Linked DNA regions of Macaca fascicularis. The main gene of each other region encodes a partner of the protein of the gene in region 3 in a complex. Links are inferred from orthologs where the notes say so. Each region holds a gene or a part of one and is shown on either strand. Other genes may lie near its edges.

Region 1 (3,971 bases), on a different chromosome or scaffold from region 3:
TTTAAAGAGAAGTTTCCTTTAATATTCTAAACAAGAAAGTATGGTGATAAATTTACTTATGGCCCTGGTCATCCAACACAGATCTCCCCCAAGCCCTTGTCAGGCAGGGGATTCTAAAAAGGTTGAGAGATCTTATTGAGGAACATTTAGAAAGCCTAGATTCATTAAACAATGACTGATGTTTAAAAGAGGCAGTGTGGTAGGGAGGGTCAAATTGCGGGCTATGGGAGCTAGCCTACTTGGGTTTGAATCCTTGGGTTAGATACCTTGAGCAGTTTTGGAGGCCGAGTCAGGAGGACCACCTGAGGTCAGGAGTTCGAAACCAGCCTGGCCAACATGGTGAAATCCCATCTCTACTAAAAATACAAAACTTAGCTGGGCGTAGTGGCATGTGCCACCCGGGAGGCTGAGGCAGGAGAATCACTTGAACCTGGGACGGGAGGTTGCCCTGAGCCAAGATCCTGCCACTCCACTGTCTCAAACAAAAACAAACGAAAACAAAAACAAGGTTATATACCTTGAGAAAGACACTAAAAATGTTTCTTCAACTACAATAGGAAGATAATAGTACCTAGTTCATGGGTTGATGTGAGGACTAAATGAGTTAATACATGTCAAAAAGTATTTAAAACAGTGCAGGGCATATACTGAGTTCTTAATAATTGTTAGCTATTATTATTACTACTACTACTATGTACACGGCACAGTGCCAGGTAACAAATGTGGGGAGGTAGGGAAAGAATCAAAAATGACTAAGACTGCCCCTTTGCTCAAGTTCAGTCTAAAAAGAGAGATTATTATTCCACAGCAGCATTGTCTAATAGAAATATAGGCCAGGCACAGTGCCTCACGCCTGTAATCCCAGCACTTCGGGAGGCCAAGGCAGGCAGATCACCTGAGGTCAGGAGTTTGAGACCAGCCTGGGGAATATGGTGAAACTCCATCTCTACCAAAAATACAAAATTAGCCAGGCATGGCAGTGCGTGCCTGTAATCCCAGCTACTTGGGAGGTTGAGGCAGGAGAATCACTTGAACCCAGGAGGCGGAGGTTGCAGTGAGCCAAGATTGCGCCATTGCACTGCAGCCTGGGCGACAAGAGCAAAACTCCATCCCAATTGAAAAAAAAAAAAAAAAAAGGAAATACAGTGATCCACAAATGTAATTTTAAAGCTGCTGGTAGCCATATTTTAAAAGGTGAAAAGAAACAGGTGAAATTAATTACTTAAACTAATATATCCAAAATATCATTTCAACATGTTATCAATATTTTAAAAATTGATATAGTGTCCATTCTTTTTTTGTAGCGAGTCTTCAAAATCTAATGTGCATTTTACACTTACGACAATGTCAATCTGGACTAGTCACTTTTATTTATTTTTTGAGACAGAGTCTTGCTCTCCGTCACCCAGGCTGGAGTGCAGTGGCGTGATCTTGGCTCACTGCAACCTCCACCTCCTGGGTTCAAATGATTCTCCTGCTTCAGCTTCCCAAGTAGCTGGGACTACATATGTGCAGCACCACACCTGGCTAATTTTTTTTTGTATTTTTAGTAGAGATGGGGTTTCATCATGTTGGCTAGGCTGGTCTCAAATTCCTGACCTCAGGTGATCCACCCGCCTTGGCCTCCCAAAGTGCTGGGATTACAGGTGTGAGCCACCTGAACTAGTCACATTTCAAGTGTTCTACAGCCACATGTGGCTGGTGGTTCTTGTACTGAACAATGCAGTTCTACAGGGGACTAGCACTTCAAATGTAAGCTAAAAGAAACCAATTAGTTTCTGAGATCATTCCTTCATTCCTCAATTATGCCCACACTGCTATGGGTGGAACATATACCTATCCTAAGTATGTTCAGCTTATGCTACAAAACCAATTTCTCAAAATTCTTATTTTTGAACCAATTTGTAAGGCACAGAGGAAAAACAGGGAATAATTGGTTTTGAAAAGCTTTCAAATACTCCAGTGCCAAGAAGAAGACTGCAGAAAGAAATGTCATCCTTTAGGGGAGAAGAAACTTAAGAATCCCTACTAAGAAAACTACTCCAGTTTGTGTGTATGTGTGTGTGTATGAAAGGGGGGAAGGAGGCTAGCAAGGAAAGGCTCAGGAAAGAACCAGTGTAACTTCATACGGTCTGAGGCCCACAGGCCATCTGCTCCAGGCTGAATTCAATTAAACTTAGGATATCTGAAGTCAAACATCCTAAGGGTCTTGATAGGGCTTAAGTAAGTTAAAATTGGATGGGAGAAACAGGGATGGGGCTGGGGGAGAAGGCGAGAGGATGTACCCCAACGATGTAACCGAGCTCAGTTTCGGTGACTGGGTCTCTGAGAAGTGTCCACGGTGGAGGATAAGGGGCTGACACGGACGCTGGTGTTCCCTGGGGCAGAGATACAAAATTTTTGTACGTGGCTCAGAAAAAAGGGTGGCTGTAACGGGCAAAAGACCCAAAGGGCAGTACCAGAGCTGATGGACCGGCCTTCGGGGGACGTACCGCGGGCCGAAGGGTGCAGGGGTCTCTTGGGGGTCCCGGGGAGGTGGGCGTTGCCTCGAGGGGTGGGACTCAAGGGCTCAGACGATGCCCAGGTCGTGGGGCCGGCAGTGTGGGGACCCCACGTCCCAGACGGGCGGCTTCCCCTGCCCCCCCACGGGCAGGTTGGCCGTAGGTCTGGACATTACGCCGCCTCAGAGGGGTCGTTCCAGGCCCTAGACTCACCGTGCGGCTTCGGCCAAGGCCTCAGCTGCCGCCGCCAGCACCGCTACCGCCGCCTCAGGCCCCCTGCCCCACCGCCCGCCTTCCCCGCTGTCCTCTAAACCGGGAGCGAGGGAAGGAGGGTTCCTAGCCCTGAGGACCAATCGACACGTACAGGAAGAAGATGGACTGAAAAACAGGCCAATAGTAATGAAGAAGAAGTGAAGCTTCAGGACCCGGCTTCTCCAGGGGGCGGGGACTATTCAAATAGACAAACCACGCGGCCAGTGACAGCTGAAAACAGGCTTGGGTCCACTCGGGAGAACCAATCGGTCGTGAGTTGACCTCAGTCACTTCCACTCATACATCCGGTGCGGCGCTGCTAGGATTCCCCTCTGCATCCGGGCTGTGAACTCAGGGAGTCCGCTGTCTGGGTACCTCCGGATCGCACCAAGAGCGGCTAGCAGAGGTTCGCGACCCCTCCCGGTGTAATTCTGAGAGGAGAGTGTGAGCAATGCTGGCGCCCAGGAATTACTGCATCAGAAGACGTTTCGGGCTAGCGCTCTTTATGGATCCTATGATTTCTCTTTTGTTACATTTAATAAGCATTTGAAAATGTTTTTAATTAGATTTTCTCACTTTCCCAAAATTATCCAATTCAGGATCATTCCAGAGAAACCATAGCCAAGTTTTAACCAAAAGAGCTACTCATAAATAAAAAGTTTCAAAGAAACATTATATTTTTTTAATCGTTTCAAAAATCAATAGCTGGCCCGGCGCGGTGGCTCACGCCCGTAATCCCAGCACTTTGGGAGGCCGAGGCGGGCGGATCACTTAAGGTCAGGAGGAGTCGAGACCAGCCTGGCCAACATGGTGAAACTCTCCCGCGTCTCTACTAAAAATACAAAAATTAGGTGGGCATTGTGGCGCACGCCTGTAATCCCAGGTACTCGGGAGGCTGAGGCACGAGAATCGCCTGAACCCGGGAAGCAAAGGTTGTAGTGAGCTGAGATCGTGCCACTGCACTCCAGCCTGGGCGACTGAGAAATCTCCGTCTCAATGAATACATACATGCATGCATGCATGCATACATACATACATACATACATACCAAGGAAAATAAATAGCTGCTGGTCACAGTGGCCCACGCCTGTAATCCCAGCACTTTGGGAGGCTGAGGCACGAGGATCGCTTGAGGCCAGGAGTTCCAGACCAGCCTGGGCAAATAGTGAGACAATGTCTCTACAAATTGGAAAAAAAGAAAAAAGAAATCAATAGCAA
Region 2 (3,513 bases), on a different chromosome or scaffold from region 3:
AAAAAAACTATTAAAAACTTAAAAAGGGGCTGGGCACGGTGGCTCATGCCTGTAATCTCAGCGCTTTGGGAGGCCAAGACGAGTGGATCACCTGAGGTCAGGAGCTCAAGACTAGCCTGGTCAACAAGACAAAACCCCGTCTCTACTAAAAAATACAAAAAATTAGCCGGGTATGGTGGTGGGTGCCAGTAATCCCAGTGACTTAGGAGGCTGAGGCAGGAGAATCACTTGAACCCAGGAGGCAGACGTTGCAGTGAGCCAATATTGTGCCACTGCACTCCAGCCTGGGCAACAGAGAGAGACTCTGTCTCAAAGAAAAAAAAAAAAAAACCTTAAAAAGTAGAGACAGGCATAGTGGCACATGCCTGTAGTCTCACCTACTTAGGAGGCTGAGGCAGGAAGATCATTTGAGCCCAGGAGCTGGAGTCCAGCCTGGGCAACATGGCAAGACCCTGGTTTTTTTTTTTTTTTTTTTTTTTTTTTTTTTTTTTTAAATAAAATAAAACCCAAAACCAAAACAAACAAAAAACCTAAAAGTAAATAACCTCAATTTTTAACAAATTCAATATGGCTTTCATAAAGGAACTGTTGAAAGAGATGATCCAATATTACACAATTATCTGTGGGACTAACTCTTTTTTTTTTTGAAACAGAGTCTTGCTCTGTTACCCAGGCTGGAATGCAGTGGCATGATCTTGGCTCACTGCAACCTCCACCTCCCTGATTCAAGCAATTCTCCTATCTCAGCCTCTTGAGTAGCTGGGATTACAGGTGTGTGCCACCATGCCCAGCTAATTTGGGACTAACTCTTTTTTTTTTTTTTTGAGACAGAGTCTCGCTCTGTCGCCCAGGCTGGAGTGCAGTGGCCGGATCTCGGCTCACTGCAAGCTCCGCCTCCCGGGTTCCCGCCATTCTCCTGGCTCAGCCTCCCGAGTAGCTGGGACTACAGGCGCCGCCACCTCGTCCGGCTAGTTTTTTGTATTTTTTAGTAGAGACGGGGTTTCACCGTGTTAGCCAAGATGGTCTCGATCTCCTGACCTCGTGATCCGCCCGTCTCAGCCTCCCAAAGTGCTGGGATTACAGGCTTGAACCACCGCGCCCGGCTGGGACTAACTCTTTAGAAGGTACTATTACTATAACACTTGAGAGACTAACACCTTTCCCACAGACAATGGGAGGTGGGAAGTTATTGACAGTGTTTTTGGACAAAGCACAAACAAACTGTTCTTTGAACAGGAACCAAAGCTATTAATATGGTAAGCTATTCACCAAAAAATTGTAACCAAGTATCCTTGAAAACAGAATTATTAATAGGACTTTGCCAGATTCTGTTAAAGGTGATCTAAACAAAATACAGAGATACTGGAAGTATGGTAGTCAGGAATAGGAGCAAATTAACATAGATTCGGTATATATTAAATGCCAGTCTCCTTCCATGCCATCGCATTTTATCTTCATTACACCTCTGTAAGAGAGAATTAATTTCTGTGTTTAGAGATGAAAGACTAAGGCTCAGAGAGATAAAGTGTATTAGTGCCCAAGATGACACAGGTAGTCAGTGTGAATCAGGAATTTAAATCTGGTCTAATCTAAAGTTTTTTTTTTTCTTTTTTTTTTTTTAATTATTCTTTCCACTCTATCATACTGTCTTTTTCATATGAAAAAGGTCAGGAACCTGGAAACCTAGACACCCTCGGATACTCTTTTTTTTTTTTTTTTTTTTTTTTTGAGACGGAGTCTCGCTCTGTCGCCCAGGCTGGAGTGCAGTGGCGCGATCTCGGCTCACTACAAGCTCCGCCTCCCGGGTTCACGCCATTCTCCTGCCTCAGCCTCCCGAGTAGCTGGGACTACAGGCGCCCACAACCGCGCCCGGCTAATTTTTTGTATTTTTAGTAGAGACGGGGTTTCACCGTGGTCTCGATCTCCTGACCTTGTGATCCGCCCGCCTCGGCCTCCCAAAGTGCTGGGATTACAGGCGTGAGCCACCGCGCCCGGCCCTCGGATACTCTTTTACTCTATTTCTCAACTGAGCTCTCTGCCCACTCAATGGCACCAGGAGTCCCACCTGCCTGGAATGCCTGTTTCTAGACACACTTCATAATTTCCTGAGACCTGCTCACTCACGTTAAGACGCTTGCTGGCATCATCTGGGACTCGGGTGCTGCCTCTATCAAGGACTGCCAGGTATTTGTGGAGTTAGGGATCACAAAGCCAAACTCGAAGAACCATTCTGAAGGAAGAAGGAAAAGCCGGGGTGAGCAGGTGCCCCAGTATAAAGTTTAAGGGCTCTTTGTCTCCCTCCTCTAGAGTGAGCCTCTTCCTACCCTGAGAACCACCGAAGGAAGCTATCAGCAACCTCTCAGACCAGAGGCATAAAAAAGACAGGGAAGGCTCCTCAGGTTGTCCTCTGAACTACACCAAAGCCTTGCTTCTCATGCTTTGAGGTCTAAAGGACTAGGACCAGTGACCAGGACACAACATAAGCAGCATTTTCTTAGAGGTAGGCTAGATGTGAACTATACATAGATACATAGCTCAATTCTCTTGGACTAGCTTGAAGGGGCTTATGTGCCCTCTTATACTGCATGGTGAGAATTCAATGCAGAGTGGCCAGTCAAATCTGTATGATACTGTATGTAGAGCACTGTACTAGGCCCTGCTCATAGCAGCTTCCTCCATGACCATATCACAATACAATGTCAGTGCCTAAACCAGGTACCACCATCCATGCTCCCAGTGTCAGAGACCTCAAAGCCCCTTGCAGTGGCCAGCTTTGTTTTGGTTTGTTTTCACTGGGGATTCACAGTCTTGCAGAGTGTAGGAATCCTACCACAAACTGAGTTGTAAAAGGAATGTTATCAAAGCACTGCTTTAGTTCACTGGGTATTGTTGCCTTTTGTCCTGGTCCCCCTAAGCCCTGATTTCAGGCATGCAGGCAGCAGAATACCTTCTAGGCATTGCCCTTTGAAGTAAATTTTTTGTTCCAGGCGGAATTTTTCCATTTGTTCTGTTGAAGAAAAATTGAGTTCTCGAGACACGGCCTTGCACTTGAGGATTTTCTTGGGAACACGGGCTGGTAAGAGAAAAACAAATGTTGAAGCCATTCTAAATGAAAACCACATGACTATGATGCTTCAAATTTCTGGGAGCTTCTTATAGCTGATTTAGAGAACACTTTATTACATTTTGGATAATGCTTTGGTAAGTGCACTACACTTTGTGTGGCTGAAAGCAGAGGACTCTAATTGGTCACTCATATCTGAAAAATATTAGATCTTCAAGGAACACCAGGTTTTGTGCATCTAAGGGCCTCATCTAGCTACTCTCATCAGGAAGGGGGCTGCACGGGTACCTTCTCTCTACTCTGTTCTGGTGATTTTAACCCCTTACTTCTTCTTTACTTTAGGGAGATAAAAACGCAAATTTTCTTTTGGAGAAAAAAGTTGAGATCTCAGTTTCTATCTTCGGGTATGTTCTAATGGTAAAATTTCAGCACAAAATGGGTTTTGGGAA
Region 3 (3,992 bases):
GGTATAGCACCATTTGCAAGCTCCCAGAAGTGAGCATGCTGAGTAATCCTCAAAAGGGTGGCTTACTAGACGAAACCTGCTGGCAAAACCTAATCTCCTTCCCCTGCAAAAGACCCCACAAACTACAAAATATCCCGGCTCATAATACACTTTAAAATCAAATGGGGCTGGGTGTGGTGGTTCACGCCTATAATCCCAGCACTTTGGGAGGCCAAGGTGGGAGGACCACCTGAGGTCAGGTGTTTGAGACCAGCCTGAGGGTTGGCCATGTGGTGAAACCTGTCTCTACTAAAAATACAAAATTAGCCGGGTGTAGTGGTGCATGCCTGTAGTGCCAGCTACTCTGGAGGCTGAGGCAGGAGAATCGCTTGAGCCCTGGACGTGGAGGATGCAGTGAGCCAAGATCGCGCCATTGCACTCCAGCCTGGGTGGCAAGAGCCAAACTCTGTCTCAAAAAAAAAAAAAAAAAATCAAATACAAGATTGGGAGCAACTTAACCTCTCCAAAATCGTTTAATATGACTACGCTTGAAAATAAGTATGGAGAAGTGGGGTAGGTTGCAGAAATATGAAATACTGAAGACACAAAATAGGGACTAAAAGTGACCCTGTAACCCACCGAAGACTAAGTTAGCACAGTATTTAACAAGCAGCACTTTAAAATAATGTTTGTGAAGAGACGGCTAAGGGGTGTCCTGTCACATCTCCGTCCTCAGGAGGAAGCTGAATAGAGGGGAAGATAAAACAGAATGGATTTCAACTGGACACAAGGAACTTCTTTAGCAAAAAAAACAAAAAAACAACAACAACAAAAAACCACCAAAAAGTGATAAAACTAGCCCTGCTTACCAAAGACTAGAGCTACCATTTCAACATTTTAAAAGGGTAAATCAGTCAGGATCTTTAGGTCATTCTCTTGGGTTGAAATCAAGTAGCCGAGGTACTTGACCATAATGTGATTATTCAGGGGCTATTTTCAAATAGTTGGCAATAAGTACTTACTTGACTGACTAGGGAGGGCTCACCCAAGAGCCAGGACACCTCGCGCTCCCAACTCCTCAAAATGCAGAGGAGGAAATCAAGAGAACAGAGACAAGAGCATGGATTCAGGCTGCCAATAAAGGTTGGATCCCAGGTTCCATGTAGATATTTGAACAGTTAGTGACTTTGAACCCCTCCATTTGATTCGTGGTTACTTCCTGGCTGCAGCACCGCATCGCACAAGAGTTCCCCCTACGACTCTGGGCACCCCGCATCTCTAGCCAAGCTTCTTTCAGCCCTTGACTTCCTCCAGCTCTCGACGGAGAGGTAGTAAAAGGATGAGTAAGCATGCAGTGGCTGATCTTGGTCAAAGAGCACAGACCCTGGCACCGGCGGTGGAAAGCGCAGTTGGGGAGTGCATCCCGCGAGCGGCTGGCAGGTACAAGCTTCCCACGACACATGCTGTCACCCCGTTCCGCAATCACCGGAGCCTTTGAACCCTCGCTTTCACCTCCCCATCCCCCCAAATGTGGCCCGGCGCACGTCTTCTATAGACAGTTGCTTCAAAACAGCCCGAAAAGATGAACGTAATTTCTCCAGGCTTCCGGATGTCGGCAGACAATACAGCCTCACCCTGAAGCGTGTCTAAGTTCGATCGCTCCGGTTTCTCACAGGCCAGAAAACCGCTTGTTCTGTGACACCCCGTCCGCCCCCCAACCCGACCCTAAGCCACCTTATTCAGCAGTAAGGCGACGCTAGGAACCGTTTCAAATGTACGTCAACCTTTTGGGGGAAGAAAAAGAAAACAAAAAGACTTCGGAATTACTTCAACAGCGTGGTTGCAAGTACCTGACCTTATTCCTTCCCGAAGAAATATAGGCCACTGAGAGATCAGACATTCCTTTTTCTCTGCCTTCCTACCCGGGCCGCCAGCAGCATCTCCAGGGCCTCCAGAGGGGCCTCTTTTGGGGGCTCGCCTAGGTTTCCTATGTACAAAACTTGCGTTCAGAGACCAAACGTTCTCTAAGTCCCTAGTTTTCTTTACAAGGGTAAACTTCACCACAGATGGAATGAAGCCGAGGTGCTGCTTCCTTTGTTAAAATCCCACGGACTTTCTTTTCCTTGCATCGGGGGCGGGGTGGGGGAGACCGCCAGCCCCGGTCACGCGCGCCCGCGGCGAAGGCGGGGAGGCAGGTGTGACTCCTTCCTCGCGGGAGCCTCTAGCGCGGCTCCCTGGCGCCGCCTCATTTCCCCAGACGAGTCCCGGACTCCTCGGCGGCCGGCGGCCCCCGCCCCGCGCCTCCCACGCCCTCCGCCCGGCCGCCACCTGCCCGCCCGGCCCGCGGAGGGCGCCCGGCTACCGCAGCTCCTCGACCGGTGCGGACGCCGCCCCGACCGCCACCACCTCCGCTCAAAATGGTGGTTACGAAACGCGCGGCCCCCGCCCGCCCCGCCACATGGCCGCGCCGGCTCCAAACTTCGCAGGCCCGGCAGCGACCCGGCTTCCAGGCGAGGCCCCGGCGGCGCGAGAAGGCCGCGCGACCACCGGCCACTCACCCACAGACCGGTAGCCCAGGATCGCGATCTTCCGGGACTTGGACTGCGGCATCTTGGCGGCCTCCTCAGCCCCGGCCCAACCACATCAACCGCGGCGGCGGCGGCTCCTGCTGCTGCGATCGGCGGCGGCCGCGCCGGGGGAGAGCGGCATACAGAGCAGGGGCGGCGGCGGGCGCGGCTGCCTCTAGCTCGCTCGCTCGCTCGCTCGCGCGCTCCCAACCGCCCGGAACCGACCGCGCGGCGGCGCCCCTCCCCCCACAACACACCCACGTGACCGGCCGGCGTCAGCACCGCCCCTCCTCGCGCCGTGGCCCGCCGCCTCCGCCCCCTCGAAATACGCGGGGGTGCGTCGGGGCGACGTTTTACTTTAAAGGCAAAAAAAGGGGACGCCGCGATGCCCCCAGAAAAGTCACGACTGAAACTCGCTGCGTCATGACCCTCCCACCTTCTTCCGCCGCTTTTTAATTACGCCATTCTCCCCGAGCGCCGATTGGACGGCACCTGCACAGCCGCGCGATGACGTGTCAGAAACTCCATCTCCCATTGGGGGAGGCAAGGAGGCGGGGCGGAGGAGGCGGGGCTGGCCACCCAGGAGCTAAAAATACACCGCGCTGCTACAGCGCGGTTGGGCGCCGGCGAGGTTTGAAGGCTTCAAACTTCCAACCGGTTGGGGGCGGGCGGGAGAGGCGGAGAGACAAACGGTGGCTCCCCGGTGATTGGCCGGAACGGAGCGCAGGGCGGGGCAATAGGTGGGAGGTGCGGTGATTGGTGATAAGCTGAGCGGTTGGCTGGTTCGCGCCCGCTGAGCCCGTGAAGGGCGCGAGGCTCGTGGCCGGGGCGGGCGGTGGTTGGGCTAGCTCCTCCCTCGGGGCTTTTTTGAAAATTCCCCTTGAGCTGCGTTAGCGTTCGTGTCTGGGTTTGAGGATGTAGTGGTGACTAAGCGTCACCCACGGCCGAAGGACTGTGGGAAGCATGGAGTCTGCGTTAATTCAAAGTGTTAGGAATTTCATTAAAAACAGGGCGAGCCTCGTCAGTTCTGGTGTCTGCTTCGCTTCGCGCGGAGCTCGGCGCACATCCTGGAACAACGCCGGGGCGGGAAGCCGGTTCTCCGCCAGCGCCAGGGCGGCTGGTGCGGCGGGCAGGCCGGAGCCGGGTGCCAGGAACGCCTCGGGCCGCGGTGTGGGCACAGCCTTCCCAGGGGTGCAGTGCAGAGGGGCGCGGGAAGAGAATCCGGGCCGGGAACGCAGGTGCCGTTGAGGGACGAGCCTCCAGGCAGGCCCGGAGTGGTGGCTGCTGGTGGGCTTGGCACTTGCCGAGTTAGCAGAGGCTCCGCCGCGCCGGGGAACCCGCCCCTATTCTGCCGAGGCTGTTTGGCAGTGGGGACCTGCAGAGGCCGGGCATGGCCCTTCGCCCTTTCCCAGTGATCGGTAGGGAGGAATGAAGCCCAGGGAAACT

The links.
Region 1: the proteins of RHEB (region 3) and MTOR are in contact, whole or in part, in a cryo-EM structure (PDB 6BCU), measured with the Homo sapiens proteins. The link is inferred for Macaca fascicularis from reciprocal best matches to the Homo sapiens genes RHEB and MTOR. Residues at the interface, in NP_005605.1 of Homo sapiens: Lys5, Ser6, Arg7, Lys8, Arg15, Pro37, Ile39, Glu40, Thr42, Gln57, Ala62, Asp65, Tyr67, Ile69, Gln72, Thr73, Ser75, Ile76, Asp77, Asn79, Asp105, Met106, Val107, Gly108, Lys109, Val110, Ile112; in NP_001373429.1 of Homo sapiens: Arg62, His69, Glu73, Ala101, Thr102, Ile104, Gly105, Arg106, Asn109, Tyr110, Arg112, Asn113, Phe140, Glu143, Tyr144, Phe147, Glu154, Arg160, Thr969, Gln973, Phe977, Lys980, Glu1010, Phe1011, Gln1014, Met1018, Ser1050, Thr1051, Asn1264, Lys1293.
Region 2: the proteins of RHEB (region 3) and PDE6D are in contact, whole or in part, in a crystal structure (PDB 3T5G), measured with the Homo sapiens proteins. The link is inferred for Macaca fascicularis from reciprocal best matches to the Homo sapiens genes RHEB and PDE6D. Residues at the interface, in NP_005605.1 of Homo sapiens: Pro2, Gln3, Ser4, Gln57, Asp77, Gln176, Gly177, Lys178, Ser179, Ser180, Cys181; in NP_002592.1 of Homo sapiens: Ile53, Leu54, Cys56, Val59, Val80, Gln85, Cys86, Leu87, Glu88, Glu89, Trp90, Ile109, Glu110, Ala111, Ala112, Pro113, Gln116, Met117, Met118, Leu123, Tyr149.

The regions. Positions count from the first base shown.
Region 1 is NC_088375.1:223,546,796-223,550,766, reverse strand, and holds the start of MTOR (serine/threonine-protein kinase mTOR), read right to left. Parts: upstream 2,811-3,971; 5' UTR 2,715-2,810; intron 2,379-2,714; 5' UTR 2,286-2,378; intron 27-2,285; exon of another isoform or gene 1-26. UniProt on the Homo sapiens protein: Serine/threonine protein kinase which is a central regulator of cellular metabolism, growth and survival in response to hormones, growth factors, nutrients, energy and stress signals.
Region 2 is NC_088386.1:127,657,586-127,661,098, forward strand, and holds part of PDE6D (retinal rod rhodopsin-sensitive cGMP 3',5'-cyclic phosphodiesterase subunit delta), read right to left. Parts: intron 3,074-3,513; coding exon 2,948-3,073; intron 2,231-2,947; coding exon 2,125-2,230; intron 1-2,124. UniProt on the Homo sapiens protein: Promotes the release of prenylated target proteins from cellular membranes. Modulates the activity of prenylated or palmitoylated Ras family members by regulating their subcellular location.
Region 3 is NC_088377.1:192,793,010-192,797,001, forward strand, and holds the start of RHEB (GTP-binding protein Rheb), read right to left. Parts: upstream 2,802-3,992; 5' UTR 2,590-2,801; coding exon 2,538-2,589; intron 1-2,537. UniProt on the Homo sapiens protein: Small GTPase that acts as an allosteric activator of the canonical mTORC1 complex, an evolutionarily conserved central nutrient sensor that stimulates anabolic reactions and macromolecule biosynthesis to promote cellular biomass generation and growth.